Linked DNA regions of Tribolium castaneum. The main gene of each other region encodes a partner of the protein of the gene in region 2 in a complex. Links are inferred from orthologs where the notes say so. Each region holds a gene or a part of one and is shown on either strand. Other genes may lie near its edges.

What was found.
Region 1: the proteins of fwd (region 2) and Golgi resident protein GCP60 are in contact, whole or in part, in an NMR structure (PDB 2N73), measured with the Homo sapiens proteins. The link is inferred for Tribolium castaneum from reciprocal best matches to the Homo sapiens genes PI4KB and ACBD3. Residues at the interface, in NP_001317650.1 of Homo sapiens: Val37, Gly38, Val42, Ile43, Asp44, Pro45, Val47, Ala48, Gln49, Lys50, Ala51, Cys52, Glu54, Val55, Leu56, Val59, Lys60, His63; in NP_073572.2 of Homo sapiens: Gln245, Ile246, Ala249, Leu250, Gln253, Thr254, Gln257, Phe258, Tyr261, Gln265, Tyr266, Leu276, Leu280, Gln283, His284, Gln287, Tyr288, Gln291, Leu292, Val295.

What each region holds. Positions count from the first base shown.
Region 1 is NC_087402.1:2,409,022-2,424,166, reverse strand, and holds Golgi resident protein GCP60, read right to left. Parts: upstream 6,152-15,145; coding exon 5,989-6,151; intron 5,931-5,988; coding exon 5,642-5,930; intron 5,593-5,641; coding exon 5,277-5,592; intron 5,230-5,276; coding exon 4,660-5,229; 3' UTR 4,349-4,659; downstream 1-4,348. Other genes in the region: pickpocket protein 28, read right to left, coding at 1-40, 85-93; nclb (periodic tryptophan protein 1 homolog), read right to left, coding at 771-847, 898-1,173, 1,219-1,812, 1,862-2,035, 2,090-2,169, 2,220-2,278, 2,325-2,414; alpha- and gamma-adaptin-binding protein p34, read left to right, coding at 2,714-3,484; CWF19-like protein 2 homolog, read left to right, coding at 6,236-6,238, 6,287-7,933; 26S proteasome non-ATPase regulatory subunit 8, read right to left, coding at 7,979-8,116, 8,232-8,414, 8,462-8,830, 8,881-8,988; uncharacterized protein LOC100187736, read left to right, coding at 9,540-9,935. UniProt on the Homo sapiens protein: Involved in the maintenance of Golgi structure by interacting with giantin, affecting protein transport between the endoplasmic reticulum and Golgi. Involved in hormone-induced steroid biosynthesis in testicular Leydig cells.
Region 2 is NC_087400.1:4,123,411-4,138,980, forward strand, and holds fwd (phosphatidylinositol 4-kinase beta), read left to right. Parts: upstream 1-6,477; 5' UTR 6,478-6,730; intron 6,731-8,991; 5' UTR 8,992-9,026; coding exon 9,027-9,190; intron 9,191-9,589; coding exon 9,590-10,174; intron 10,175-10,541; coding exon 10,542-10,935; intron 10,936-11,084; coding exon 11,085-12,441; intron 12,442-12,825; coding exon 12,826-13,010; 3' UTR 13,011-13,477; downstream 13,478-15,570. Other genes in the region: transmembrane and ubiquitin-like domain-containing protein 1, read right to left, coding at 37-168, 218-287; small ribosomal subunit protein uS15, read left to right, coding at 1,879-1,901, 2,030-2,462; protein disulfide-isomerase A3, read right to left, coding at 3,855-5,381; MMS19 nucleotide excision repair protein homolog, read right to left, coding at 13,655-13,843, 13,891-14,061, 14,107-14,251, 14,301-14,401, 14,456-14,577, 14,623-15,570. UniProt on the Homo sapiens protein: Phosphorylates phosphatidylinositol (PI) in the first committed step in the production of the second messenger inositol-1,4,5,-trisphosphate (PIP). May regulate Golgi disintegration/reorganization during mitosis, possibly via its phosphorylation.

The DNA.
Region 1 (15,145 bases), on a different chromosome or scaffold from region 2:
AGAAACAATCGGAAATCATTTGCTCGCAAGGTTGTGCCAACTGGAATTACCATTTTAAAATTATTTCACAGGAATTAATAATACCTGAGCCATCAATACATCAGTGGTGTACCCCAAACGTTGCAAAATCGCGATGATTTTTTTATGTTTGGTCCAGTTTATTTGCGAATCGAGTTTAGCCGAAGCCACCAATACTGATAAATTTGCAAAAAAGTTGTCAATTTCGGCCGATGAGACTCTATTGTGTAATCTCAAAAAAACATACGATTTTATGCGAAATATTTGTGCTCTTACAGTTGCCTGATTTTTATTGTTGCGTCTTTGTAGACTACGTTATAATTACAGATGGTAACAGCGGGAAAAGGGACTTCCCAGATGGGGAAAGCAGTGGTGGCGATTGTTGTTGTAATCCGATTAGAATAATAGGAAACGAACTGTGATCTAATTAAAATGAAACACAAACAAGTGCTTATTGTGCACACCAAAGCCCAAAAGTATGATTTGAATTTTGACGATTTTTGGTCGGTTATGTAGCGAAAGCCGTGCAGAGAGGTCTCTTGGAAGTAATTTTTTGTACAACATTGCACCCGATTTATTATCACTTTACCTAAAAAAAATAATACGGCTTTGGTTTAAATCAATCGTAACTTACAGCGCGGCCGTTTCATTATTTCTGTGGGAAATGCAACAAGGTGGGGTTTTATACTCGTAATTAAGACACAGTACAATTAATTCTGTTTTATTGAGTTTTATTACACTTTGATTAAAATCTAATCAGTGTTCATGCTTTCTTCTGTACTTTCTGCGACTAATTCTTCTAATTGCCGGTCTCCAAACTTGTGTTTTACTACAAAACAACTTTTACCAACTACTAATTACCAAAAATGGGCAACGTACCAACATCGATGTTTCTCAAATCGTGAACTAGAAAATTATTAGATTTATTATCCCCTCCTGCCGCTATGACAAACGGCAAATCGGGCGACAAATCCAGGCACTGGACTGTCCCTAAACTAAAATCTTTTTCGAACACGAAAGTGGCTTCATTTTCGGTGTAGTCCCAAATTTTTATCGTCCCATCTGGCGACGATGTGACTAATAAACCGGGACATTGCGGACTCACAACCAACCCAGTGACTTCCTTTTCATGGGCTTCAACAGCCCACACTTGACCTAAATCTCGATTTTATCGACTGAATTTTACTAAAAACTCACTACCTTTTCTACAATCAAAATATTGCAAATTTCCGGTATCACTACCGGCGAAAAATGAAAACGGTTGTAGCGGGTTCCAGACCAGAGTTTCAACCTCCCCATTTATTTTCCACGTCTGATGTGTCTCAGGGTTGCGACAATCGAAAATTTTTGCTTTCTTGTCGCTAGACCCAGCTAGTAAAGTTTGCGCTTCCAGTTTGTGCCACTGCATGCACTGGACCTTGTCTTTGAACGCGGAAATGGTCGTACTTGGAGTTTTGTTCTCCAAGTCCCACAAAAGTATAGTTTTGTCAACTGAACCGCTAGCTAAGACGTGTTCGTAGGTTTTGTTCCAAGCCAAAGTTAAAACTGCGTCTTTGTGGCCGACGTGAGGTCGGTTTTTTTTAATACTTGCGGCTCGGCCTAAATTAAACGCGGGTTCTATGCAGTTAATTATGTCCAAGTCCCAGACTTGGATAATGGGGGTCATGGAACCTATAGCACAGTAACTGCCTTTTGGGGCGTTGGGTTCGTAGTCCAACCATTCGAAACAAAGTGGAAAGGCGGGAAGTAAGATATCGTGGTGGACGTAAAGTGATTCTTCCTCCTCGTTGTAAACTTGGAATAATTATTTTTTTGTTGGTTTTAATTCAAGTACAGTACTTACTGTACACTTCTAGCGAACTTGCGTCACCTTCCACATGTCCAACTAGAATTAAATTATCGTTAGGTTTGATAACTTCGTCTTCTTTGTCCGAATCGTCTGATTCAGAGAAGTTTTCTTCCTCATTATTTTGTAAATCAGCCAGTGAACTTATCCCCAAAGCCTCAGCGGTGCCTTCTAATAAAAAAAAGTCACGTAACGTAACGGTGTCGTAACACTAAGTTCAGTTACCGTCTTGTTCGTCATAATTTTCCAAATTGAACTCATCTTGAGCCGATGATTCACCTTGAGCATTTTCCTCATTTGTGACTCTGTTTTAAAAAACTGATTGGTGACAAGTAACAAAAACTCGAATACGTACCGAAGTTTCTTTTTTGTGGCTTTTATGACTTGTACGAGCTCGGCTTTGGACAATTGGACCTAAAAAACCGAGTCATGAGCGAGGTTACTGTATTTTGTAGATTACCTTTTCGGGTTGGCTTTTTGCCACTCCTTTCTTCACCCACTTGACGCAAGTGATGAAATTAACTCGATTTTCGGTGTCGTTTTCTTCCATTTAGCCAAAATTTTAGTAAAACGAGCTAGGTGTCAAACACACGTGTCGAATGTATTTAAGGTTATAAAAAATAACCTCAGTTTGTATGTTTTCGGCAATTTTTTAAAGAAACTTGACTAAATATGAGTATATGAGTTAATCAAAAAATTGTATTTTTTGTGTGTACCGTTAGCCTAACACGAGGGCCAGCCTTTTTGTATTTAGTCAAAATGTTATTGTTTTTGTGGTTATAAAAACACAACCTCAATTAAAACTTTGACACTTGTCAAACAGAAGATTAAAAATAGTTTTTTGTCAAAATGAGTGCAAAACCGAGTGTGGTTATCGTTAGTAGCAGTAGTACTAAGCCAAAGTCGTTAATTAAGCTCATAACGAAATGTGCGGACATCCAAGAGGACCCCCTTGACTCTACCAAGATCGTCCACACTTGGACAATCGATACCAAATATTATACCGCCGAAGTTGATGTAATTGGGATAACAGAACACCACGAAAGAAGTCAGGCATTTAATGACAACGTCGAGGCTCTAGTAATCCACATAGACACAAACAAGGAAAATGGTTTAAAGGACTTAGAAATGTGGTCCAGTTTACAAGAAGACTGCGATCCCGAGATCAAACTCCTAATCGCAAATTACTGTACCAACGAGACGAAAATCACCAAAGCTGCCGCTACAGAATGGTGTTTAAAGCACGGCTTTGAATTAATAGAACTGTACCCAGGATCGCAAACCTGCGACCAGGACATAATAGAGGAAAAAATTGGTGTTGAAAGGGTTATTGAAGCCCTCCAGACCCACACTTGGTCCAATCTGAATATGAAAAACCAAGAGAAAAACGACTTGAGCGTGAAAAATCAGAAGAAAAACGACAGTGTGGTCGAGTTGTGTGAGGAGTTTCTTACAAGTGAAGGAAGCGATGATTTTAGCGATTTATTCGCACAATTAAGCATGATGAAGGAGAGTTTGCAGTCTTTGCCGATGAATCAGAGGAAACAGTGCGCCGAGCAGGTGGTCACGGCGTTTTGGCGCGCAATTGGGGGAGATGAAGAGGAGATTGCAGATGTGTAAATTATTCCATTGCATTTAATTAAAATATTATAAAATAATTACAAATTAAAATATTACGTATTGTATCGTTATTTAATAAATAAATTTACGTCAGAGTGTGCTGTGACTATTTGACATGTCTGTAACTTTTGGGGTTATAACAATAATAACTGTCAGATGAAATGTAAAATGAAACGGTTTTTTATTTTTTCCTGCTCCCCTATCAGCTGTCTTCCCAAACAAACACCACCTGTTGAATCAGCTGATAGAGGCCACCACTTGGGTGGTGGGGAGAAGCCGTTGAGTCCGCGTGTCCAAAAAATAGAGGGAAAATTAGCGCGCCCGGGAAACGATGGTCCTGTGAGGTTAACTCGGGACTCGGGCGTTTTTCCAAGAACATCACTAAAATAGTCATTTTTGAACCCCCAAAATGGCCGAAGAAGACGAAAGGGTTGAGCCCCGCCGTTCAGCCCGACTGGCTTTAACCGAAATCCACTTTAATGAAGCCAATCACGAAACGCCCAATAAAAACGCCAGTGCCGACGAAATGGTAATTATTCAAAGAGGACCCAGGAGAAAACCCATCATTTGGTCGCCAGTGGATCAAGACAGGACCCCCGCAAGGAAAACGGCCAAGGAAAAGTCCGTTGAGACGTTGCCGAAACGCCCCAGTTTAAACCCGAAACTCAGGAGACGCCTCATTATGAGCCCCACGAAGAATTCAGGGGAGTTGGGACTCGCCATCGCCAAGAAATTGCGAAGCTTGCCGGCTTTCTCACAGGAATTGAGACAGGAAGCGTCACAGATTTAGTTTATAGGTGTGTAGTTTATGTAACAGTTTTTTATTCATGTGCCTTGGAGTATTTTTTTAATAAAATAAAGACGTTCGATTTGTACAATAGTTTTATTTCGTACTACATAAAAATTGCACAAATATTTTATTATTCAATGGGTACCACAGACTTTCTTACAATACTTTTTGCGCTCAGACTAGAAGAATAGTTCAATGAAAAACCAAAAAAACCGTCAGCTTGTTTCAAGAGAAGCGATAAGCCATGTTTTTAATTAAATTTTTAAACAGAGTGGTCTGTGACATTGATAGTTCGTTACCAACTTTCAGTCCCAGGCCACTTTGATCAGAAACGTAATCAAAGCTTAAAAACGAATACAAAACAACTGTATAATGAAATAATTAATTATTGCGTGTAATAGACTCTGTAGTAGAGAGTTTTAGACCTCCATAACGAATAAGAATTATCAAACTTAAGTAAATAAACTCCCTGGCCTGGGTACTGGTGAGACCCTGCATAGACCTCACTCTGGCAGTCCCTCCTATAAACTGGCACGATTTCGGTGAGAAGTGGTTTAGAAATGCCATTAACAGCAACAGAGCCGGCCTCCAAGTCGCCAGTTTGTATCGCTTCTTCATCGTAAATCTCTTCCTCTATGTCTTCCAAGTCTTCGTCATCGCTTTCAGAGACGTGGACCGAAACTTGGTCACTTGTGGGAGTCCCAAATTCGAAATAAACCCCAAAACCGATATCGTAATGATCCGTGGCAAACTCCCAAAAAAGTCTCGTCCCATGCGGATGTGTGGGGACCCTAACAGTAACAGTCTCGCCATGGCCTACTCTCACAACCCCATCACCCTCGGCCTGAGCCACAGTCTGCTTGAATTCGTCGATGCCAGAACGCGTCCACATACTGGCCGGGATTAAACTATTTGAGGAAGATTCGTTTAAATTTATTTCGTCACTTTGATTGTTCTGTAATTATTATTTTATCACATGGGTATGAATAAAAGGGTAATTACCCAATCGGGATCAGTCTTTTCCTCATCGACGCTTTTTATTTGCTCCCCCCTTTGTGCCGCTTGCAATTGTTGCATGTACTGGATGTAGTGCTGATCCTGCAATTGCCTAATAAGAGCGCCCTGTTTTTCGGGATCGCCGGGAAATTGTTGCTCGGCATATTTCCTAAATTGGTCGAAAGTTTGTTCGTTCAGAGCTTGCTGGATTTGCCTCTTGATTGCTTCTTCTTTAGTTAACTGTTCCTGGATTAGTTTGGCTTCTTCCTCCTTCTTTTGCTTCTCCTCTTCTTCAATCAGTCTACGTTTCTCTTCCTCTTTCCTAAAGGCGGGTTTTGAGTGAAAAAATCAAAGGTTTAGTTACGAATTACGCTTTTCTCTCTTGCTCCTTCTTTTCCCGTCTGTGTGCCTCGACATAGGCGGAGAACAGGGGGCACCGCCGACTCAACAGTTCCACGAAACCTGCTCTTGCCTGATCTGTTGATAATTTTCCTAGTTTTTGCCACGCTAATCGCCTATCTTTGCCTACAACGTCTAGTGTTCCTAATGGAGGTAATTTATTTATGGCTTCTGATAATGGACCGTGGAGGACTTGCTGGGAGAAAGCGACGAGTTGTAATTTATCCTCATAACTAAAATGAACGGCCTTGCCTTCCTTTTCTGGAAGAAATTTAATAAAAGTAAGGAAAACGGTGATAACCTTCACGATTTCAAAAACCTTTGTAAAAACTGAAGGCAAGCTTGTAAACTTCGGTCAACGGTAGGCCATATTCTAGGGTATCATTCGATGCGTTATTTACCGAACTTTTCCGTTTTGCGGTTTTTACTTCTAATTTTGAGAAATTTTCCAAAAGTTGTGAGCTGTCACTCTCGGCAGCCATGTTAATTTTTTTGGGGATTTCTTGCGTGACTTTGGTGATATCCCCATTTTTTTGACAATTATTTAACCTCACAAAACGTCGCAAATGGTAATAGTTTCTTTTTGATTTTTGTACAAATAACCGGCGTTTTTACAGGGTAAACATAAAGAGAAATCAAAAAAACATAAAAAAGACAAAAAACGGGAGTGGGCGCGCGAGTCGGGCTCTGACTCATCTTCAGACGAATGGGTTGAAAAAGACAAATATTCGTCTTCTGAGGACGAAACCAGTAAAAATAAACCTAAAGAAAAATCGTCAACTGATCGAGAAGAATGGATGTCTTTGCCGTCCAGTTTTCTAACCGAATCGCATTTGGACAGGAGGCGAAATCGGGAAGAAAACAAACGGTGGGAGAGGGAACGTGAGCAGTACAATCCGAGATCACACTCAAGAGAACTAAATCCGTACTGGAAGGACGGCGGTGATGGTTTACCGAAATTTAAAAAACCGTCCGACGAACACAATTTCTCGTATAAATCAACCAATAGGCCACAGTCATCTTCAAACTGGAAAAAGAAACCATCAGAACAGCCCAAAGAACGTGAAACTAGCCCAGAAGCGCAAGATCAGGGCGAAATTTTATCGGACAAAGAATTAAACGCCCTCGCGGCTAAACTGGTAAAAGCCGAAATAATGGGCAAGACGGAACTGGTGAAGGAACTGAAAGCGAAACTTGAAGCTGCAAGGCAACGGAAAGACTCGTCTAAACCTACGGAAGAAGTTCTCTTGACTCAAACTGACTCTCAGGGTCACACGAGACCCGTGAGACAACAAGCCGATTATGAACCGTCAGGTAGCCGTAAAAGGAAACGCAAAGTTGAGACTCATCAGGATGGACAAAGAGTGCGTTATTTCGCCGATGATGATAAACATTCCCTCCAACAAATGTTTGAAAACGAGAAATTTAATTCAGTGGAAGACCAGAATAGCGAGTTTATGCGAATGGCGAGCAAAGTCCGGAAAAACGACGATTTGGATGAAATATTTTCCGATAACATTCGGAAAAAAGAGGATGGGGCTAAAACTGATAGGAGGAATCGTGACCGGGCGATTAACGAGCATCAAAGAGTGGCTCAAAGCATAGATAATTGTAAATTGTGTCTTCAGTCCGACTCCATGGCCAAACATTTGATGGTTTCGTTAGGCGAGACGGCCTTTTTGAGTTTGCCTCCGTACGAGCCGGTGAACGAAGGCCACTGCTTGATAGCCCCCATAAGACACGTCACGTGTTCCACGCTACTTGACGAAAACGAATGGAGCGACATAATGGACTTCCGAAAGGCTTTAACAAGGATGTTTAGTGCGAAAAATTTGGACGTTATTTTTTTCGAAACGGCCAAAAATCTGGATAGGTATCCCCACATGTACATTGAGTGTATCCCCTTGGGTAAGGAAGAGGGCGACTTGGCCCCCATCTATTTCAAAAAAGCGATAGACGAATGCGAGGCCGAATGGGCCCAAAATAAAAAATTGGTGTCTTTGAAAGGCAAAGACGTGCGCAGGGCTGTTCCAAAAGGCCTCCCGTATTTTTTTGTTTCGTTTGGAATGGAAGAAGGGTTTGCTCACGTTATCGAGGATCAGAAAACTTTCCCCAATAATTTTGCGCAAGAAGTCATCGGCGGAATGCTCGATCTGCACCACAGTAAATGGCGGAAACCTAAATACCAAAGTTTTGACGAGCAAAGCAAACGCGTAGTGGAATTTTCAAAGGAATGGGGCGACTTTGATTACACAAAAAAATAAAATCGCTTAAAATCTATTTTATTCAATAAAAAAAAATTACAAAAATTACACAATCATTTCTAATTCCTTGGCGTATTCAATCGCTTGCTCGGCCAATTCGCACGATGGGATGGGCTCAGTGATTTTCTTGACCTCAGGCGCGAAGTGGAAGAAGTTGTCGCGGCCCAACTTCCACTTCTTATTCTGCAAAAAAATAAAATCTAACGTCCGCATTTCAAATTATCACAAAGCTTAAAGAATTGCGACTTAAGAAAAAATGTAATATACACCTCGGTACCTCGTGATACAATTGACTTACTTTGCCGAAAGTTTTAGCGGCTTCTTCGTTTGCCAAATATAACATTCTTGCGGCATCCTTGAGCGAGATTTTTTCGTACGCTTTTTCCACACAAACGGCGATTTCGCCGCGAATTGTGTCAAGCAAAATATCCATGAAGAAGTTGTAATTTTTTGCCGGCACGTTACCTTTGGCTAAAAATATCTAAAACTCATTCATTAACACGTTGCTCAATGTTTATAAAAAGTAACCTTGTTGTAACTGCCCTCCATTAAATACTGTTCAATTGACAGAGGATGCCTTATGTAAACATCATTCTGAATGTGCTCCGCAGGCAACAGTTCCAGCTCAGTGTGAAATTCCGCGACGCGGTTTTGCGACAACAAAAATAGCAAATTTAAGCCCAACAATTGATACTTAAAGGAAGATTCAGGGAGTTGGTCTTTGTAATCAAAGTAGTAGCACTTTAATTGTGCCATATATCGCTCAAAAGCGGGGATATTACTCGAAGCTATGCTCCATTGTACCCCGATTTCTAGAACGTCCCGTGCTAGTAACAATTCTTGCTTTGAAGCGGACGCATTCGAAGTCGGCAAAAACATCAAATGAGTTAATTCAAGCTGGAAGGAAAAAACACAAATCATCGAACCTAACCTCCCAAATCACTTACCTTCAATTCTGACAATAACTGCTCGACTTTTGCCAGATTTGGCTTCGGGTTGTTCCACTCTGACTTGAGTTGCTTGTAAAGGGTCGTAACGTCGTTAATTTTCGACATTTTTGCAACAAATAGTTGGATGATTTATACAAATTTTTGACAATTGTTCTGTCAATTCTTGTCCCGCGTTTCGTCAGTAGATGTCAGGCTGTTGGTGGAAACCTAAAGTTAGAATTTTCCTTGGATTCGCTCCAAATTAAACACCACCAGGAAAACATGTTTACGATAAGTGGTGTAATTACAATCGGGAATGACTCATGTTTGCTAACAGCTCATAATTCACTTTACAGGTTCCTGTAAATTGTTTGCAAACTGGCAATTTCCTCGTGGGTGTTTTCAAATCACCGCTGTTTTGATTGCAGTAAATCACTCCGGTGATTTAATTGTGGAATATTTGCGTCCGGCGTGAAATATTTTGATCGATTAGTTCGTTTGTTGATATTGGGGACGCCACTTGTGGTGATTTGGGAAAGGTGTGTCCCCCACTCCACTCTCCCAGCCAATCACAGCCGCCGTCACACGCCGGTAATCGACATAAAAGTATTAGAAGCACGCTGAAGTTGTCATTCTGTTAGTAAGCACGTGCAAGAGTGAGTGTAATTGTTGCAACCATGGCCTTCATGATGCCCGTTGTGAAGAACGATTGGGACATATACAAGTCCAATCGTTCCCGCAGGACCTCCGAGTGCTCGAACCCGACGTCCTGCCGTTCCCGCAAAGTGTCGGAATGCAAGAGCGAAGGGCCCAGCCTGTCCACCTCGCCGGGGTCCGACTACATGGTCTCGCCCACCCACCGCAGTGTGCCCGCCAACATGTCCCGACAGTACTCCCGGAACAGCTCCAGGACCTCCCAGAGCAGCCTCCAGAGCCCCATCAAGAGCACGTCCTCGTCGCCGCCAAAAAACGGATCCGAGACAAGTCTCAACAAGTTCCACAACAGGCTTTTGGATAAGTTGAAGAAGTCGCTCAGGAGTAAAGATGCCGAAAGTGAAAGAACGAGTTCCTGAGACGAGGAGCCGAAGGACTCCACCTCCTAGAAAGTGAGGACGATTGAGTGACTGCGACCGTGCTAACCGAACTACGTTGCGTTGTTCAGGTATAGCAATTGGTATATTGCCCTGTGATATGTAGCGAAATTTCTAGATTTATTTAGACTGGTAGGGTTTCTGGAGGCTAGCTCGGTCGGTTTCTAATCATTGACTTATTACTGTCGTCAAAAGTAGATATTTATATGACTATTATTACTGAAAGACTGTTTGTTGGGAGGAAATAGGAGTTTTTAATGAAATATTATATTAAACTTAAGAGCCTATATTTGCTTGTTATCGGAGTTTGCTCCGAATTGCTGCGAGTCAGTCGCAGCAATTTTGAGCAGGACTAGTATATTGCATAGTTTATAAGCAATTGTAATGAGGGCTTTCAAGCGGAGTCTCTCATCTAGAGGAACATTCCAAATCGAAATAGTTTTGCAGTCATATCTAACGAATTACACGTACAATAATACTTATACGAGACCATTTGGTACAATGTAATTCTACGTACTCTTGTACAAATGTGTTCTATACAAATTGCGCCCTTTGTATCGTAATGTTTTGCTACTTATATGGAACCAATTTGTATGTAATATGCAGAAATAAACTTGCCTTATGGCCGTGTGTTACAATCTTTCTTTCTTTCCGCGCCCGAGCGAATGGAAAATTACCAGGCAGCAAGTGTCGCTCGCTTTATACATCATGTTGACTCGCCTTATAAATAGCAATCTAACTTTTATGTGGTATAAAAGGAGAGGCAAATTTCCAACGACTCCGGAATTTTATCATTCACCTTGAGAGTATTGACCCTCAAACGGGTGCAATAGTGGAAATTTTCTCCTGCATCGACCAAACTCGAATGCATTTCTCCCTCGAGGGAGGAAGACGGGGAAAATCGATACGACACGCCTTCGTTTGTACGCGAGCAGACAACCTTCAACGGCCTTTCTGACCTAGCTAAGCTGTATTTTGACTGAGCTTCCGCTAAAAATACCAGGAATTTTGCAAACAGCATCAAGCCCTGGCATTCCTTCAATTATGTTGCACGCCGCCCTAAAGACGCCGTTGGATAACAACACGGAAGACGCTTTGCCGGTTCATGACCTTTACAAACATCGTGGCTTTTTATTAGCCATTTCGGCGAGCATTAAATTTAACAAGTCCAAGTTTTCAATAAATTTGGGGCGATTTAATTTACTGTTTGTTCCGATATCACGGAACGCTTTATGTGGGCAGAACCTTGAATTTTTTACCATTGTATTATTAGAACGCCAGTTACGTAGGTTGAAACATTTCATAACGACCAATTTATTATTTCTCTGATAAGAGTTCAATTCTACGATATTTGTCAACTCCTGCTTGGGCACAATTTGCCTAGTCATTTGCCGAACTGGTAATCCATTAATGAGCGATTAGTCACGTAATTACAGGTAATCGCGCGTAGGTAATTCCTGGCAACATCTGCAACTTTTATAAAAATATTCCATTCATTATCTGGTCGCGATACACCCATTTGCTGGTAGTTTTCCCTGGTGTTGGGTGACTCGCCAGCGAAATTCCTAACAAGTGAGAATAATTTGGCAGTGACTTGTTCGCTAAATGAAAGGCATTGATAGGAAAAAGTCTCGTTCTTTGCTGAATGTCACGTACGGGTTTTTATTATCATAAGTTTAATTTATTCGAGCAACGCCCGTCGAAGAATAACTTTAACTACGTCCTTGAATCGTGAAAACACCTCCAGAATTTCATTTTTTACGACTGATAAGGCGCTTTATTGCTCGTATTTACAAACATTGCGCGTTTGTTTTGACAGTTTTGAGGAAAATAGGTCAACCGAATCAGGTCATTCGTTTCTTATTCGTGTGTTGGACAAAGACGGGGGAGATTTTCCCGGTTCCTTCCAGTGACGTCACGGCTACGTCGTCCTGTGCCCCTTTTCGGGGTGTCTACGTGCACTCTGGCATGAACTGCGTGCAGGAGCGACGCGTTGGTCCTTCTACGTTGCAGGAATTGGAGCAGTTCGATAAATCCACAAATGCATTCATTTCCAACGATAACAAGCGCGCAAACTGGATGCGGACAGATTTATCTGTTGATTAGCGATTTTTGCAGATATGTGGCAATAAAAGTTTGATTAAATCTCTAGCTCCGCCCATAGTTCGCACAGCCACGTCCATCTGTCAGTATTCTAGGCGGAGCTTAATAACACTTGAGTCAAAATAAATTTGCTTTGTACGGACGTCAATGCTCCGACTCTTTTTGGGTTAAATGGTACGCAATCAATTGACATCTATTAGTACATGACACCGTTAATTTATTGCAAAATTGAACAACAAACCGAAATGTATTCATGCGAAGACTCGATAACACAAAATAAATATTTAATGTTACTTCCTGTACGTTGTACAAACAATTGTCAGAGGTGTTTGATTTAAAAATAGATTGATTGGTCCGGAGGCGTGAAACCATCATATGACTTCCGTTTTATCTTGTTGAATTTTTCTTGTAGTCAATTCGAGTGTCAAATATTTGGCAGAAGAAAAATTGGCGGTGAGACAAAGCCAGTGTTTTTGTAATCTAAAATTGTTAACGGTTAGATTTCTGGCGCCAGATGCTCACATGCTCCAAACAACGCCAACGGTTTAAATTAATAAACTTGACGCTTTTCACGATACGAGATTAAAATAAGTGAAAATTGGGGCTCGGGAACGAGATTAGCTCCAGCTACTCTATTTGCGCTTATCGGTTACGTAAGTGATAAAACTGATAATAGGTGCGACGCTACTGGTGGTCTATTCTTAAAAGGGCGCCGTTTTTTATATTTTACATTCTAAAATATCCATATTCTTTTTTCTAAAGCCGCTCAAAGTAAAAAAAAAATAAGTAGCTTTTGCGCTGGCTTTTATAGACAGCGGTTTATTTAAAAAGCAATTTCACTTTTGAACACTAAAGCGAGATCGATTGACTGCATCACTGTGTGTACTTAATGTGCAAGTGTTGGAAAATTTGAGATTACAGGAAAATTCTGGAAGATTTCCTATTGTATCTAGTGGAAATCGCGAAGTGTAAACAAACCGGCGTTTATTGCAAATAAAGTGATAAAATCAGCGATAAATGCGATCAAGATTCCGTGAATTATGGCGCCCAAGATGCGTTCCATCAGAAATATTTGCCTCGATTTCAAGAATTATTAAATTTAAACGGCATTGAGTGCGTAATTTTGGTCTATTTTTGACTTAATTGTGCTAGATCTCGGCCACAAGGCGAAATATTGACACTTTGTGGAATCAATTTCGACGCAAAATCCTTTATATGGGCGCTAATAAGACACTTCTAAAAGAGTAACACTTTATGAGCGCATTCAATGGCGTCGTTGTCATCTCATTACCGTCATGTTTATGTTTAGTCAATAAAAATCGGCAAATTAATCCCGCAATATAGTTACTCTCACCGGATTTATCCGGCTCTTTGTGCTTTTTTCGTATCAATGAATAACACAACAATTTTTAATTAATTCGTAATTTGTTTATCAAACTTTGGGAAACCAAATTAGCCTGTTTATACGTAAAACATCAACAGGCTAATGTGTGTCCCGAATTGTTGTGGATAATTAAGTTTGCAACTTGCGAAAAACAACGGGTTAATTGGTGATAAAATAGCCGTTTTTTCTTTTTTTTGAACGGCAACAGTAAGTTTCAGTTGCAGAAATAAACGGTTAATTTAACAATGATTGTAAGATCATTCAGGGCAATTTGTAACAAACTTTAACAATTCTAACAATTTCTTGCGAAATTTCCAATCAGCTCTTCTAATAATTATGTTTATGTGTACTTTTATCCTTGATGTAACGCGTCTGCGGCCTTGGATATTGTTTTCAGGATTATTTTTTGCCCAAGTGATGCGACAAAGTGCACGCGTGTCGCAAATTCAGATTACAATTGAGCGTCAAAGAGTTAAGTTTTGACGTCATCGTCGTCTGGAATTTCAGAAAAATTAGCCCATGTAGCGAGAAAGAATGCCGCGCGTTGTTAATAAATAATTCATTTGCGAAGTTTAAAAATAAATACGCTTCTTCATGTGGTAATTGTACGATTGGACATTGACTATAAATAGAGAAATAATGTTGTTTTTGTTGTTCAAAGGCGCACCCATTACTTGTCGTAAACAAATTCGAATCCAGTTTAGAAAAATGGAAAAGTGAATCCTGAAATGGGATTTCACGGTCCACTTCGGTCGGTTGTTTTGCCTCAAAAACCTTGACCTACCGTTATCCCACACGTGACGTAACCCAAAAGTCGAAGACCTTATCAGAAATTGCTTATTGTTCTCAAATTTCTCTTTTTCCCCTCTCTCTGACTTTCTAATACGAAAAAAGAGTGACTCAAAGCGTAAATCTATTACGTACAATTTTTCCACCTTCCTTCCACTTGTGATCAATTTTCGCGAATTGAAATTTAATTAGCGCTTTTTATGACGAAATTGGCACTCAAAAGTGCCGCTAACGATGTTAGCATTTACCACTAAATAAAGGATCAGTGGGCAAGGTAGGAGTAATTAAAGGTGTTTCTTTGATGAATTTTTCCACCCTGGGATTATTCACGGTACAATACGAACTCCTCTAACTAAAATGCGCAGTTGTTGAGAAGGTCAGTTAGGGATAAGGTCGTACCGAAATCAATACCCCTGAATTCAAGGCCTGAAAAACTGGGGGTTGACCAATCGCTTGAAATTTTGTCTAGGTCGGGAACGGCCAAAAAGGGAATGTTTTCGTTGCGTAATTATTCTTGTTTTGAACAGTTTATTTTTACTAGAGTGGGGGCTAAAAGTTGGCAAACATCGTCATAAATATGCCGGTGACAACCCGTCCTAAATTGGCTCGTCGACACTATTTTTAGATAGTCAAACAAAAGTTGTAATTCTCGAGGCGCATTACTTTTATTGTCGATTTTCAACGGAATCAATACAATATCGGTTTTATGGTGATGACGTATTCAGAGGATCGGTCTTGGTGGCGACATCTCGGGGAAACCCAACGGGGCAGCGATTGGGAACACCGCGCTTTTACCGTAATCGATAGCCTGGGTTTATGCAGGCGTTTCTAGGGGTCACTTGTTATATAACTGCATTTTGCCAATTTATTAAAGGGCGGAAAAAGTATCATTATGTACCTTGGTTGGAAAGGGAAT
Region 2 (15,570 bases):
GCATTTGAGATAGTTTGGGTTTTTTGGGGGGCGCACCTTCGGCTATTGTGACGGCATGCGTGTGGTTGGTGAGCCTGCGTGGCGGCCTGTGCCGGCGGCGGTCCAGCAGCCACACGGTCTGGACGTGTCTTTGCTCCGAAATGCTTGTCGTCCACCAGGCTAAAGACACTGAAACAGGGGGGCTAGTGGGGCAGTCGGCGGCATCGGGGCGCCTTACCGACTAACATTACCAACAGTGCGATAAAAAAATGCGTCACTTCATCGCCGATACCATCAATCAGGGGCATTATGCTAGAGGACGATGCGTTTTTGTCGCAATATTTTACACCAATCAAATGCACGGTGTTTTAAAGAATTGTACGAAAATTTGGCAATTAATTAATTATTTGTTCGATTAAGACGTCACTAATGCCCTAATTTCGTTGTGTTTTTCACTTTTTAAGTGTTTTTTTGACGTCTGTCACTGTCACTTGTCAAATCAACTGTCTTTTTTCACCTTGAGATGAGTTAGAGGTGACTGCCGTCAGGTGGCGCATAAAATATGTAGGTATACAAGGTGATTCAATTAAAACGGCCCGTAATCACAACAAACCAATCACAATTCGCAAAATATGGCACAATTATCGTAATGTTGATAAAATAATTAGATAATTACCTTTTTGTCGGGTGAAATTGCGTCGATTGTGAATCAATTGGACTCAAATCGGTTTGTCTGTTGTTGGTAGTTTTTTCTAGAAATTATTTGATAGTGAAATGAATCACGTGATTCGATAAACATGACTGATAAAATGTATGAAATTGTTCTGTTGTTTGTAATCGTTTTAAAATTGTTGATTGTGCGAGTTATTATACTTATCAGTGACCTTTGATTGATGGGAATTTGTTTTGTTTTTTTTTTAATGAAAAGCCCTAGAAATTATTAAATTAAAAGGATGGTAACGACAGGAAAAATAAAACATCAAAAAATCGAAACAATTGACGTTTTGCATTTTTAAGGTGTAAAAAAGTCCATAAAACTTTGTTAGAGCGAATTTGATTTTTTTTTATTTTTAACCACTAAAATTGTAGGTAAAAAAAATAAAAATTTTAAATTTTATAAAAATCTGGTAAAATACGTAAAATGAACTGTAGAATTCAATGAAGTAAAACGTTTTTTATTAGTCTTAAAATAAAAAAATAAATAAAAATAAAAAAATAAAAAATAAAAAAGTCACAAAAATGTAAACATTTTAACTTTTTTTTAATCTGTCAAAATGGATGGATTTTATCAATTTTTTTTCTCAAAATTTTGAAGTTTTTGGAGGCCGTTTTAGCATTTTTAAGTGGGAGCGGAAAATTTTAAGCAAAAAACTTTTAAATCTCGTGAAATGCTGGTACACTACGTAGAACGAGAGGAAGAATTCCGTGGAACAAACGAAAAACCATCATTATTAATTAATTCTCTAACACTTATTTAACTTTCTTTTTTGCCCAATTTATAAGTAAAAGTAAACTTTCACGACCATCTCGTCCCCTTTTAATTAATTGAACCGTCTCACAGACGTAATAAATAAAATCCGACACTTATAATGATAATGACCCCTTGAAGACCTTTTCAACTGTAGTTTCCGTTCCTTTGTTACAATCCCTTACAAATGATTAAGTCCGTGTTCAGTCACTTGAAGCGTTACATACACATCCTGTCTTGCCGACAACACTGTGAGAAAATTCCCTCGACCCTTCGTACACGCCTTACGACAAAAAAAATCAATGATTTATTTAAATGTGCCGCCTTTGGTACAATTGGTGTTACCAACCCACGTCACCAAAAATCCCTTTTACGTTTCTAGTGCTTGTGTGCTGGTTTACCCACAGATTTAGGAATAATTTAGCCTTAAAATGGGTCGTATGCACGCACCTGGGTAAGTACCCCCTTTTCCAACCCTTGATCCACCCTCTAATGTACAAAATTCGACCATTTGGGAAAAAAAACACCAAAAAAATGAGGTTATGTCACCTCGTGGTTTATCAAGTTTTTTCGTTTTTCTAGCAAAGGTATCGCCCAATCGGCGTTACCTTACCGTCGCAGTGTGCCCACGTGGCTCAAAGTGACCCCCGATGAGGTCAAAGACTACATTTTCAAGTTGGGTAAAAAAGGCCTAACTCCCTCACAAATCGGCGTGACCTTGAGGGATTCCCATGGCGTGGCTCAGGTCAGATTTGTGACTGGTAATAAAATTCTGCGCATTATGAAAGCAATGGGGCTTGCGCCTGATTTACCCGAAGACTTGTACTACTTGATTAAAAAAGCCGTAGCGATCAGGAAACACTTGGAGAGAAATCGCAAGGATAAAGACAGCAAGTTTCGCCTGATTTTGGTCGAGTCGAGGATTCACAGATTGGCCAGATATTACAAAACTAAAAATGTTTTGGCCCCCAATTGGAAGTATGAGTCTAGCACCGCTTCGGCGCTTGTGGCTTAAGGCTTGAGTATTTTTTACGAAATAAAAAAATTAAATCGATTTTTTGTGTTTTATTTTTATCCAACATTCCTCAGTTACAAATACTGTTATTAGGAGTGTAATAGTGTCTTGCTATTACGCTACGAACTTGGTATTATTAGGGTTATTACTAACATCCGGAGGTTTCTTACTGACATGCAACATCGAAATCAGCTTTAAAACGTTAAAAAAATAAAAAAAAAAGATTGGCTGGGGCGGGGTTTGAACCTGTGCCTATATCAATTTTTGGGTCTTTGATGTTATTTTTTGCAATTTTGGCTTATGTTATTGATTTAAATGCGCAAATAACGAATGTGGGACTATTTTGACTTCCGGTGTTTATAATTTTAATTTGTTTATATTAAAAAAAAGATAACTGGAGTGGGATGTGAACCCTGGTCTTGTAGAATTCAATTAACTCTGTTTGTTTTTTTTAAACCATTTCTTACAATTTTCATAATAAATGTCAGCGATTTTTAACCAAAATTTGAATATTCTGTTTGCAAGCGTCAAAAAATTGAAAAGTAACATAAAAAACAGGCTTTGGTGGATTCCAATCCACGTTTTTTGGAATTTATTGAAAAATTTTGATTATCGATTCTTTTTTTTTTTTAATTTTAAACACGCCTTAGTGTTGTGTTGATCTGTTTTCCAGATAAAATTAATAAAAATAAACCGGGCTCGTGCAGGATTCGAACCTGCGTCCTCCGAAGTTCAAATTTTTAGGCCGGCGCTCTAACCACCTGAGCTAACGAGCCATTCCTTGATTTATTTATTAATCCAAAAAGTTAACTTTTAATTAGGTCATTGCCGCAATTTTTTATTTCCATCATTTAATAAAAATGTAAACACAATTATTCGTCCCAGATGAAAAAAAATTCCAAATATTCAAGTAAAATACCAAAAAACATGAGTTCAAAGCCCGCCCAAGCCAATTTTTTTTTTAATTTTAAACGGCAAAAAACTGACGAGGGAGAGAAAATACTAAAATGTATCATTTTCGAATAGCGATGATATTTTACGTAAAACACAATGATGATCAGAGTTAAATATTTAGCCACTCATTTAACTGGAATTCCGAAAAACGTGAGTTCGAATCCCGGCAAAGTCAGTTTTTTTTCTTGTTTTTTTTTCTTTTAATGCGACGCATTAGACAAAAGGCATAAAATTTGAGCCAAATTGATTTATTTTTTCCTTCCTGACAGTGTGGCAGATGAAATAATTAGAAAGTCGAAATAATTAATGTGCAAATGACAATATATAAACGATTAAGATTTTGAACAAATTATTGGGCAGTCAGTTATTTAATCTATTTAAAAAAATCCTGACCTGACAAAATCAATAAAAAAAAAATTTTTTATTCTCAAAAATTAATTACAACTCGTCTCGATCATCCTTGGGATTCCCCTTCCTATCATAATTCTTCAACTCTTTGGTCGCCTTCTTCGCCACAAACTTGACAACTTCCTCGGCACTCCTCTCCCCCTCGTACACCACCGGCCCCCTTTTCCTGTTCTTGGCCAACCAGAAAATATTCGGTATCCCTTTCTCGTTGAACACTTCAGGCACTTGATTCTCCACGGCATCCATTCGGACAAAAGCCACATCTTCGTGCTCCAAAAGCTCGGCAACTTCACGCAAAACCGGAACAAACTTCTGGCATTTGAGACTCCACGGAGTGTACAAATCGAGAAGCGTGTCTTTGCCGTTGTTGGTCACCGTGTGGTTGAAGTTCTGGGTGACGGCAATGATCACAGGACCGTCGTTTTCCTTGGGGATGGGTTTGGAGCGATAGTAGGGAGTCAGTTTCCGGTTGATGAAGTTCTGGACGAAGTTATCAAAAGTTGAGGTGGTGAAAGGTTCCACCATGACGTATTTTTGGTTCTCGAGGTCAAATGCCACAACCAGGGGGTTAGTGGGGGTGAGGTTATCGGTCCGGAGGTCGGAAATTTCGTCTTCGAAATCGTCGGTAGCACTTGTGGCGATTTTGACGAAGTTTTGGTACTTATGGGCGATTTTAATCAAACGATAGCGCCAGTAATTTAATTCGGTACCACCGGAGTGATAGTCGATTGTGTGGTAGACGATGACCAAAGGGTTGGGAAAATCGTGTCGATTGTTGGGCGTTCTGTGGCCAATTAAACCGTGGTAGTTCCGTGTAATAAAATTTTTTATCTCCCCAATGATACTCCTCCCTGTGAAAAGTACCCGTTCTGGTTCATACTGATTGTGGAGACTTTTTGGCCGAAAAACCACAATCCCATTACTAACACCTTGCTTCAAAATCACCTTCTCACAACTAGAGTACGCAAAAATCATACTCTCTTTCATCTCCTCCGCGACACGGAAAAAAATCCTCCGTAGCTTCGTCTCCTCTTCGAAAAAACCCACAACAATTACATCATCCTGCCCTTCAATAAACTGCCGAAAGTGCTCAAAATCCACCAACTCGACCGGATTTGGCACCACTTGAACGCGCATAAATTTCACAATACTGCGGGCATCTCTAGACCCGGTGTACTCCTTGACGAAGCTTCCGTTACGGTAGAAGTGGAACACGGGAAAGGGGTAGGTGATGTTTTTTTGGGTACATGTCGTGCGACCCCTTCCAGAACAGTCGATTTTTGCGAGAGTTACGGGGATTTGGTTGGTGGATAGAATGTGGGCGGCGCGTGCGAAATGGGGGCGGGTCTTTTGGCACATGCCGCTCCACGGAATGAAGAACTGGACGAGCAGGGTGGGGTTGAGGCGGAGCTGGCGGTGGAAGTTGGTGTCGGATAGGCTGAGGACGTGCGCGTCGGAGGGATGGGCGGGACGGATGTGCTGGAGGAGGAGGAGCAAGAGGAGGGGCCACATGACGGGAATTTTGACGTTTCGAACTGATTTTGAGGTTATTGTCATGTCACCCAAAAATTAAAAAAATAAAATAAAAATACCAAAATACTTTGGGTCTAACTTGCCGTATTCTTAGTAAAATAAAGGAAGAAGAAAAAATAAAAAAACTGATTTTGATTGTGTAAAGGAAAAAAAAACGAAAAAAAAAACTGATTTTGCCAGGATTCGAACTCGCGTTTTTCGAGTATGTCCGTTTAGATATCGCTTTTTTCGATTTTTTGGGTTTCTAAAACGCACGTTCCTTATCAATTCGCAACCTTTGCCCCAACCATTCACATTTAGGGTCACTAAAACCATAAATTGGGTCAAACACTCGAAATTTTATCGCTACAATAAAAACTTATTACATGACACTCGTAAAAAACCCAAGTATATCGTAAAACAAAGCCGCATCAAATGGAATTTCTTGTTTACATTATTGAGATGAGAGGTAAAAACAATACAAAAGAATAATTTGTTGTCGCTGCATGGTACGGTTGTGTGACCTTGATATTGTATTAAGTAATCGCTAATTCACTAAACACATTTTTTGTAAAAAACGGCCATAAATCACCGTAACGAGTGCGTTAACACTGATGGTTAATAATCTAATAACTCGATTTTTACGGATTTCTAGCAATTACAACTTCCGATACTTTCATTTCCAATGACACACTTTTCTCGATTTTTTTTCCGGTTGAATGACCTCGAAAAAGTAAATTTTGCATCAGCAAGGTCATAATTTGTTATCAACCCTTGATGCATCAAGCAATCGTGTGTCAATTTTTCGAAAAAAACGTCAGTGTTGCCACACTAGACCCGTAAGTACAAAAAACACTTTTACGATTATTCGTAGTTTTTTTGGGGCAAAAACGCCTCCACAAACCACAGTTCCACTCGTTTTAATTTTGCATAGTTTCAAGGCCTTTTGGGTGCACCTGCACCCAAAGCCTCAATCTGGAACGTAAATAAAAAGGCTTGGGGGTGTTTTGTGAAGTGCGAAACGTCGCATTCGCGTCATTTGGTGACTCACTGTCGGAAAAATGTGCCAATTATCTCGAAATTCCTCAAAATTATCTCAGGAATTTTGGTGTGAATGGGGGGTTTTTGGTGTGTGGTTGGTAGCGCACGTCCCCCTCTCCCGTCACTAGTGTGCATAACATGGCGTCTTTACCGTGGCAGTTGTGTTGTGATTGCGTTAAAAATCCCGTTTTTTGCACTTAAAATCGAGTTATTTCCGGCGGAAAAGCGTCCCGGGACCGGAAGTGGCGTGCATGTGTGCAAGTGCGCCCCCTTTGAGGATATTCCAGTGTTTGGTGTATGTGTGACGTTTGTCCGGATTTCTCCACAATTTATTAGAAAGTTTATTCGCAAACGTAGGTCCAATTTATTGTTTGGGGTGTTTTTGGGGTCGGGACACACCCATTTCGGGGGTCTTGTGTCCCCAAAATTAATCTAGGGCACGGATTTGGCGTGCGTTGGAATATATCGAAGGCGGCGGTGAAGGGTGTGACAAAATGGGTATCAAAACAATGGATTGATAACGTGATAAGATTGGAGAGGTCAAGGATCGAATTTAAAGGGTGAAAGTTTGTTGACATGCAAATCGATCAAAGTGGCTGGGGATAAAAAAACAAAAATTTATTATTGTTCCTAAGGTGGCCATGAAAAATTATGCCAAAAACAATTGATTGAGACATACAATTACTTTAATAATCAGTTTGGCTATGAAAAATTTGACGTTTTTGTTAAATTTTTTGATCTGACAAGCTCTAGTTTGTGGGAAAGTGAAATAACTTAATGCTGATAATTGAATTATTTTCGCTTAAAAATGCGTTAAAACAAAAATTAATCAGGTGGCCATGAATTTGTCATGAAATCTACGCTTCCATCAATTATTTTGGTTTAAAAATTGAAGAATTTATCTAAGTTTATGTTTTTTTTTATTCTAACATAGTTAGCCATGAAAAATTGTGTCAAAAACAATTGAATAAACTGTTATAAAAATCAAGTGGGCGCGGTAAATTTGGTAAAAACCGGAATTTTGTCGTAAAAGTTATAATAAATAATCAGCTTGGCCAGGAAAATTTGGCATTTCCATCTAAATTTTTTGATCTAACAAGCTGTTTTTAGATGGATAATACATTTTTGTCTAATTTTTTAATTAACAAAAGATTCACTAATCTTTGGACACTAAAACGAAATTAATTAGGTGGCCATGAATTAGTCTTAAAAAAATCTGCGTGGCCATGAAAAATTTTACATTTCTATCAAATGTTTTGGTTTAAATACCGAAGAATTTATCAAAATTTATGGTTTTTGTTTCTATTTTTATAATTTTATAACTAAACAAAAAATCTAATTTTTAGTCGTTTTTCTATAAATTTGGTGTCACAGTAAGGCAAACAAATTAAACTGTGTGTTTGTTATTTTTGCTCAAAATTGGATGAAACAGTGTTTTTCTGTTTTGTTTAGGTGGCTATGAATTTGTTTTGTAAAAAATCTCCGTGGCCATGAAAAGTTTAACATTCCTATCAAAAATTTTAGTTATAAATTCCAGAATTTATCTAAATTTATATGGTTTTTTGATTCTATTTTTGGTTAGGTAACAATTTGGTACTCCGTTGGCCATGAAAAATTGAATTACATATTGAAATATATATTTTTTTTAAATCACAGTTGGCTGCTAATTGCCGGTTAGTATCTGAAAATAGTCGACCTTCTAAAATCTAAATAATTAGTTTTGTCTTTTTTTATAACTATTCCTAAGTAGAAGAAATCAAATTAAAAAAATATCTGAAAAAGGCAGTGATTTCCTAATTGGCTATGAAAAATTTACAAAAAATTGTAAGATACTGAAGTTCAACTATAATGGAAATAATTAAAGGGGAACTACTCAAACGAGTGTTCAAATGAAATAAAAACAAAAAGATTTATGAATTGTTTTAATTAAACCATGACATTACCTTACAGTGGCAAAAAGTAAAAAAAAACTGTTTTTTAATTAAAAAATAAAATGCCAACCAGAATTAGAGACTGTTTTTATTTTATTTTTAAACGTTTTTATTTTTAAAGTATTCAAATTAATTTATATTGTGGCTAAGGTCATCACAAACTTGCGATGTTTGTGTCACGCGTTTTTAATGTTAATTTTCTGATAATAATACTGTTGAATTTAAAAAAAAAACTGATGTGTAAGGTAATGATAATTTAGGAGCAAAACAACTAATTTTTCTTTAAAAAAACAATTACAAATTTAGCAAGAAAAGGTTTGAAAAGTTCTTTAAAAATTTAAAATTTCGTATTTATCGTTGCATTAATTGTCAAATTATTGCACGTTATCTTATCTCTGGTTTTGTATTATGTGGAAAAATTCTGTTTCAAAAAATGAATCAAGTAGTCACGACATTTGTGATTCACTTATTTTTGGTTGAAATTTTGCTAAAAATAAATTTGATGTCACAATGGGCCAAAAAAAACTGTCACCAATTACGTGTTTATAGAAAAACAGGATTCGGTTAAAAATAATTGATTGAAATAAATTCTCAAACATTCTTGACCTCCGAGCCTTCTTTATCTCAAATTATGCGGAAATGAAACATTTTTCCGACCATTGTGATAAGAAATGGTTCTTCAGGTCTGTGATACCGACAATGGAATGACGTATTCGAAATGAGCGAAGTACAACAACAACCCATGGCGGCCCACGTAAAACGGCCAAAATTCGTTGGGTGTAAAGATACAACAGTACCATCAGTCCATGGACGACCCAACAACCATCTCAATAACAAGATCAGACTAAGCAATCATCAAAGGAATTTGAGTTTGGACTTTAGGTAATAAAGTACTGAACAGAAATAGAAACTTAATCAAACCAGCTGTGAAACAAAAGCGCATTATATTAATAATTTGTTTTCTCGAGCGCGGCCTACTACTCGTTTCCGATTTACTCAACAATCTCTACCTACATATATTTTGTAAATAAATAAGATTTCACTTGTGTGTGTGTCTGTCGAAAGTGTTTGCCTAATTACAACCTAATTAGTTAATTAAAACGAGGAAAAAATCGTGCTTAAGCGAGTGATTGTGGGGCGTTTAAAAACGCACGAGTGACCCAACAATTTTTTTTATTTATTTTTTTTTTTCGAAAAAAAAAAACGCGTTGGTGCGAGTGAGTCAACTATTTTTTATAGTTTTTTTTCTGTAATTTAGAGACGAAAAATGTTTTTTTTTAGGTCGATGGGTATTTTGCTCCCTCCTGTCGCCCAGATAACGTCTTCCACCTCCCCCCACCTCACCCTTCACCATCGCAATCGCAGTCTTGATTCGGCCCTTCAGCGTATTCCCGAAGTGGACGTTACACCAAGTCCCGAATGTGAACCGACTGTTGTTGTAGTTGTACCACCGATAGTCGACCCCAAAACAACACGTGATGAACTTGCCAGTTTGGGGTCGGATGATTCGGGTATATTGTGTGGAAGTGATTCGGGTTCAAGCGATACAAGTACAACAACGCGTGAATCAAGCGTTGACGAGACGAAAGCCGAGTGTTGTATAACACCAACAACAACACTATCACAATCCAATGAAACGAGTAAAGGATTTGGAATGTTGAGATTATTGGAGAGTAAAGTGTTTGATGTGTCAATGGCAATGCATTATCTGTTTAAAAGTAAAGAACCAGGTGTGCAAAGTTATATAGCGAATAAGATGTTTAGTTTTGATGATGGAGAAGTGGATTTTTATTTGCCACAATTGGTTTGTATGTATATACAAATGCACGACGTGGCTGAAGTTATACATCCGTATCTTATACATAGGTAAGGACGAGCGTAGTGAGTGACTCAAAGTTAAAAGTTGAACATCTGATGTTTTTCTACCCTTTCTACATCAATTTTACGGTTCATATATACAAATTATGATTTTTTTTAACTATGTACCCCTATACCCCTTTTCTCAGATGTGGAAAAGAGATAAAAATTTGTTATTATATTTTTTTTGACTTCCTGCTAGTTGAAATAAAGACATATTTGAGCCTTTTGTTGCAAAAACTTGTTAAAATACCCCTTTTTGCGATTCTAAAATGCCCAAAATTATCCCTTCTTCCCTGTTTGAATGTCGGAATGAGATATTTATGATTTAGTTTTTTGGATAAAATGACCAAAAACCCCCGTGTACCCCTTTCAGGTGTAGAAAATCGATCGACTTTTCGCTAAAATGTGCCTGGCTTTTGGACGCCTATAGTTCTGATGCTTCAGTACCATCGAAAAAGAAACCACTCGGCATCAAACTTCGTAATCTTATACTTTCCGACGAACTTCGACCCAAAGACCATAAAACACCCATCATGGTCTCTACCACCTTTAGCACTCTACATTCAACAACTACGAAAAAATCACATCAACGTTCACAAAGCGACGCTTCAGCCCTTGGTACACGACGCCCTTCAACCACCGACAAACGCCTCTGTATGGGCGACCTCACCTCCGGTCGTGCCTTTGACAACGGATGCACATGTTTCGACAGTTGCAGAGGCGTCGTCAATGACCTACGAGGCAAAAAGACTGAATGCACGTGCTCGGTAAGGGGTACCCCTTTTCAGAAAATGTTAATTTCGGTCCCCAGGCTTAAAATACAAGTCCTACCCCTTTTAGAAAATCCCGACCCCTTTTAGAAAATCCCGACCCCTTTTAGAAACTGACGACCCCTTTTCTAAAAATGCGTTTTTAGGCTCCTAGACTCGCCCCCGAGCTTGAATTTATGAAAGCGCTGATTTCAATCGGTAAATTACTGTCTTCTATACCGACCAAGGAAGCAAAAACTACAAGATTAGTAGCGGAATTAACGACACTTAATTTGAATTTGCCGGCTCGTGTTTGGTTACCCCTAGCAACGACCCCACATCACATTGTTAGGATACCGCCACAAGTTGGCGCCGTCTTAAATTCCAAAGATAAGGCACCTTATATTATCTATGTCGAAGTGGTGGAAGTTGATGATTTGCATACGTCAATTGTTACACCAAAAATATGGCCAACGTTACGTCACACAAAATCTGAGGAAAATTTAGGTGATACGACCTCATTATCGGCGTTTAGTATGTGTGGGGGTTTGTGTGATGATACTGACCCCGATTGGAGTCAGGAGGATGATGAAATATCGCAACAGGTAATTTTTGGTTTACAGCACGAGGCAAGTGAGTGCCTCAAACTATATATTTTTTTTCAGTATACGCAATTGAAACGTATAGCTGATCGCGATACGTTGTCGCAAATGTCACAAGAATCGAGTGATTCGAGGGAACCCCCGATGTGGATAGCAGCCGGGGAAATACGCAGACGTTTGTCTGATTCAATTCATGAGGAAAAAAATAAACAGTTCACCCATGATCCTCAGGATCCTTCTGCCGCAGTGCTGAAGGAACCATGGCATGATAAGGAGAGACGTATTCGTGAATGTAGCCCATATGGGCATTTGACATCATGGACGCTACTGTCAGTGATAGTGAAATGTGGCGATGATTTGCGTCAGGAATTAATGGCATCGCAACTTTTACAAATGTTCCAGAAAATATGGGAGATGGAACATGTACCATTATGGGTGCACCCATATCGCATACTTTGTCTATCAAATGATAGTGGGTTGATTGAACCCATTTTGAATACTGTCTCACTCCATCAAATCAAAAAACATCGACAATTGTCACTGTTGGAGTACTTTATCAATGAGTATGGACCAATAACGTGTGAGGAATTTTTGACAGCTCAGAAAAATTTCGTACAAAGTTGTGCCGCCTATTGTCTCTTTTGTTATTTGATACAAGTGAAAGATCGACATAATGGAAATATTTTGTTGAAAAGTGATGGTCATTTAATTCATATCGATTTCGGTTTTATACTGAGTATGTCACCGAAAAATTTAGGATTCGAAACGTCGCCGTTTAAATTAACGGCTGAGTTTGTTGAAGTCATGGGTGGTGATCAGTCGGATATGTTTGAGTATTTTAAGATTTTAATTTTGCAAGGATTGGTCGCTGCAAGGAAACATATGGATATGATTGTTCCATTGGTCGAGATTATGAGATCAGGTAGGTTTTTTTTCAAAAACTTATATTTTCCAAACGGTGCATCGTACGTGAATAATTCTTTCATTTTTGGATTCAGCGGGTCGTTTTACGTAAGAAAAGATGTCGGTTTTAAGTTTATTCGGGTGAAGTAGGTTTGACTGTAGTTTGTTGAATTTTGGGAAATGTTATTTTTTGACTTTAAATTCAGTTTTTGTGGGTTGTTTTACGACGTACACATTTTTTTTTCTTTAAAATTCGGTTCTTTTACGGTAAAAATAGCTGAACTAAGAATTTTCTTGTCATACCGGGTGACCACAATTTTGCGGCCACCTGCATATCTCGGTTAAAAATGGCGCTAGAGCCGTCAAATTTTCTCTGTACAGTGTGTTTTTAACCTTGTTTCAGGTTCGCAATTGCCGTGTTTTAAATCGGGCGCAGCGACTGTCCAGAATTTGAAGAACCGTTTCCACATGAGTATGACCGAGGAGCAGTTACAACTCGAAGTGAATCGTATGGTGGAAGTCAGTATTCACTCACTATCAACGAAACTTTACGACGGTTTTCAATATTTCACAAACGGGATACTTTAAAAAAATGCTCAATTATATCATAAACACCATGTATAATAATTTTAGTGCGAAATAAAGTGATCTGATTTGCCATGTGAGTGAAGAATACTCAGCGGCCAAAGTGTGGAAGCAAAAAAACTTTGTATATATAACATTCCATTTGTACAGTTGTTTTTTAAAAATCTAGTGTTTTTTGTAAATATCTACGTAAAGTTTTAGTGTTGGCTAGATAATTCACGTTATCCATCCATTTTTAAATAAAAGTAATATATAAGTATATATTGTATAAATACATGACTGAAATTATATAAATGAAATGCAAAAAGACTGATGTCAGCAGTAGGCTTTTTGCAGGTGTTATTACTTTTTTTTTCTTGAGTTGGAAACCAATCAAAACTGTGCATGTTTTATTATGAAATTTTTGAATATTGTATTTTATTATATTATCTATGAATTGTATTTCAAATAAACGATAAATTAATAAACGATCACACTATTTTTCTATAACCAGTAAAACGGATACAAGCAAGAGGGTAAGTAACATTATACAGAAGTCGGTTTAACGTTTAACGAGCATAATGTTTGCCAAAACGAGTGAGCGCAAAAATTTCGAGGAAAAAAAATGGTGAAAAGGGTAATTACAGAAACCTGTAATGTAATAAAATTTATTTATCAAAATCTAACAAAAACCACATAGAGCGCGCCTCCACTGCTTCCCTTCGTACAATTCGTTTCTTATCATCGATTACTTGTCCTAAAACCTTTAAAACGTCATTTTTGTGAGGCAAAAGCATAAAAATTGGAAACTTAGAAGTGACTTCTTGTAAACACTGGAGGGCCAAAATTCGCACTTTCTGAAACAAAAATTAGCAAAAAAACCTGTTTTATTTTAACTAATTACCATAGATTTATCATAAGTTGCTAATTTGAGAAATCTTGCCAAAAAAATCCCCAAATTTTCCTCAATAACTTGTTCCTTAGTTGTGATAAAATCGCGAATTAATCGCAAAATTACAATGAGAATCTCATGATTGGTGGTGTGGTCAAGACACGAAATAATTAATTTCGAAATCTACAAAATTAAATTAATTGGTTAAATTCAATTTGAAATTATTACTTTTCTAAATTGGACTAAAACGGCCGGTTTTGGTGCGAACTCTAGTAAATATCCAAGGCCTGATAAATACGAATTCTTGTCTGGACTGTAATTCGCACTTAATTTATTCGTAACTATCGTAAAAAACTTCTGCTGGTACAAAAATCTACAAGTTATTTAATTAAAATTATTTAAGTGCTAAATTATCAACTTACGCAACATTGCAATGACTTTTGGTACTTAAAGACTCCGAATTGGACATAATTGTGCGAAAACACGGAGCTATACTTTCATCTTTATCCAAATAATCGATTAACTAAGGCGGAAAATTAATTAATTAACGACTGAGCTAACGCAATTAATTGCCTACTTTTGTGGTCCAGAATGTGCCTAATTCGTGATTACGCATAATTAAGGCCTTGGTGAGCCATGACGTAAGAATGGGGTCGGTTTTAGTGTCAACCCGTTCCAAAAATTCCCTAATTACATCATCTACAATTAATTGTAATAATTAATTAAAACACGGAATTAAATTACCATTGGGACATTTGTTCAAAATATTTGCAACCAGTTCTATAGCTGCGTTACGTCTCAAATTATCCCTCTCCCTAATTATAAATTCAATTAATTCGCTTAAAATTTCGTAATTAATTACAACATCGCGCCTTAAACAAGTCAAGATCCCGCTTAGTAAAAAAATATCCTCAATCTTAATTCGACTTAATTCGTTTCGAATCATTTCATTTTGTTTTTCGCTCGACATTCGACCAATCACAATTTTCAAAACAAATGCAATCGTTTCGTGACACGTATCACCAGTCAAAGCCATCTCGATCAACACATGGGTGATATTTTGTGCGTTTAAAACGTCAAAAATCGCGTCACAATCGTCAAATTTGATTAAAACTTTTTGTAATGTTTTTATTGCACAATTTTTCAAAATTAAATCGATTAAATGGGCCGTGAAAAATTTTTGATTTGCCAAAGTCACACACAAGGCGTCTAGAAAACATGGAGTATAGTTTTCTGTATTACCGACCACGTGCGTAGCCACTTCGTTCGGGTAATCCCGTGCTAAAGCTTCAAGACATTGTAAGACAGCGCCTTCTTGTGGCACTTGTAACAACTTGACGTAGTTTTGGTAAAGTAAAAGTCGGATTTTTTCGGGTAGTTTCGGCGAAATGTCACGTAAACAATCAAAAGCGATTGGTGAGTCAGATTTTACAAGTAAAACCGGTACTTCCCCGAGATTTTCTAAATCGCTGGCAAGTGCATACAAGTCGGTTAGTAGGCGCAAAAATGGTGTTTTTTCAGCCGTTGTGTTGGCTATATTATACATGTTTGTTAATATGGGGACGGTTTCACGCGCTACGAGGTTGGCAACGCTGTCCGATGCGTTGGCAACACTGATTATCAAACGTGCCGACGGTTGGAATAATTTTGAGTCGGGTAAAAAATTTCCTTTGATTGTATCGCAGATATCTT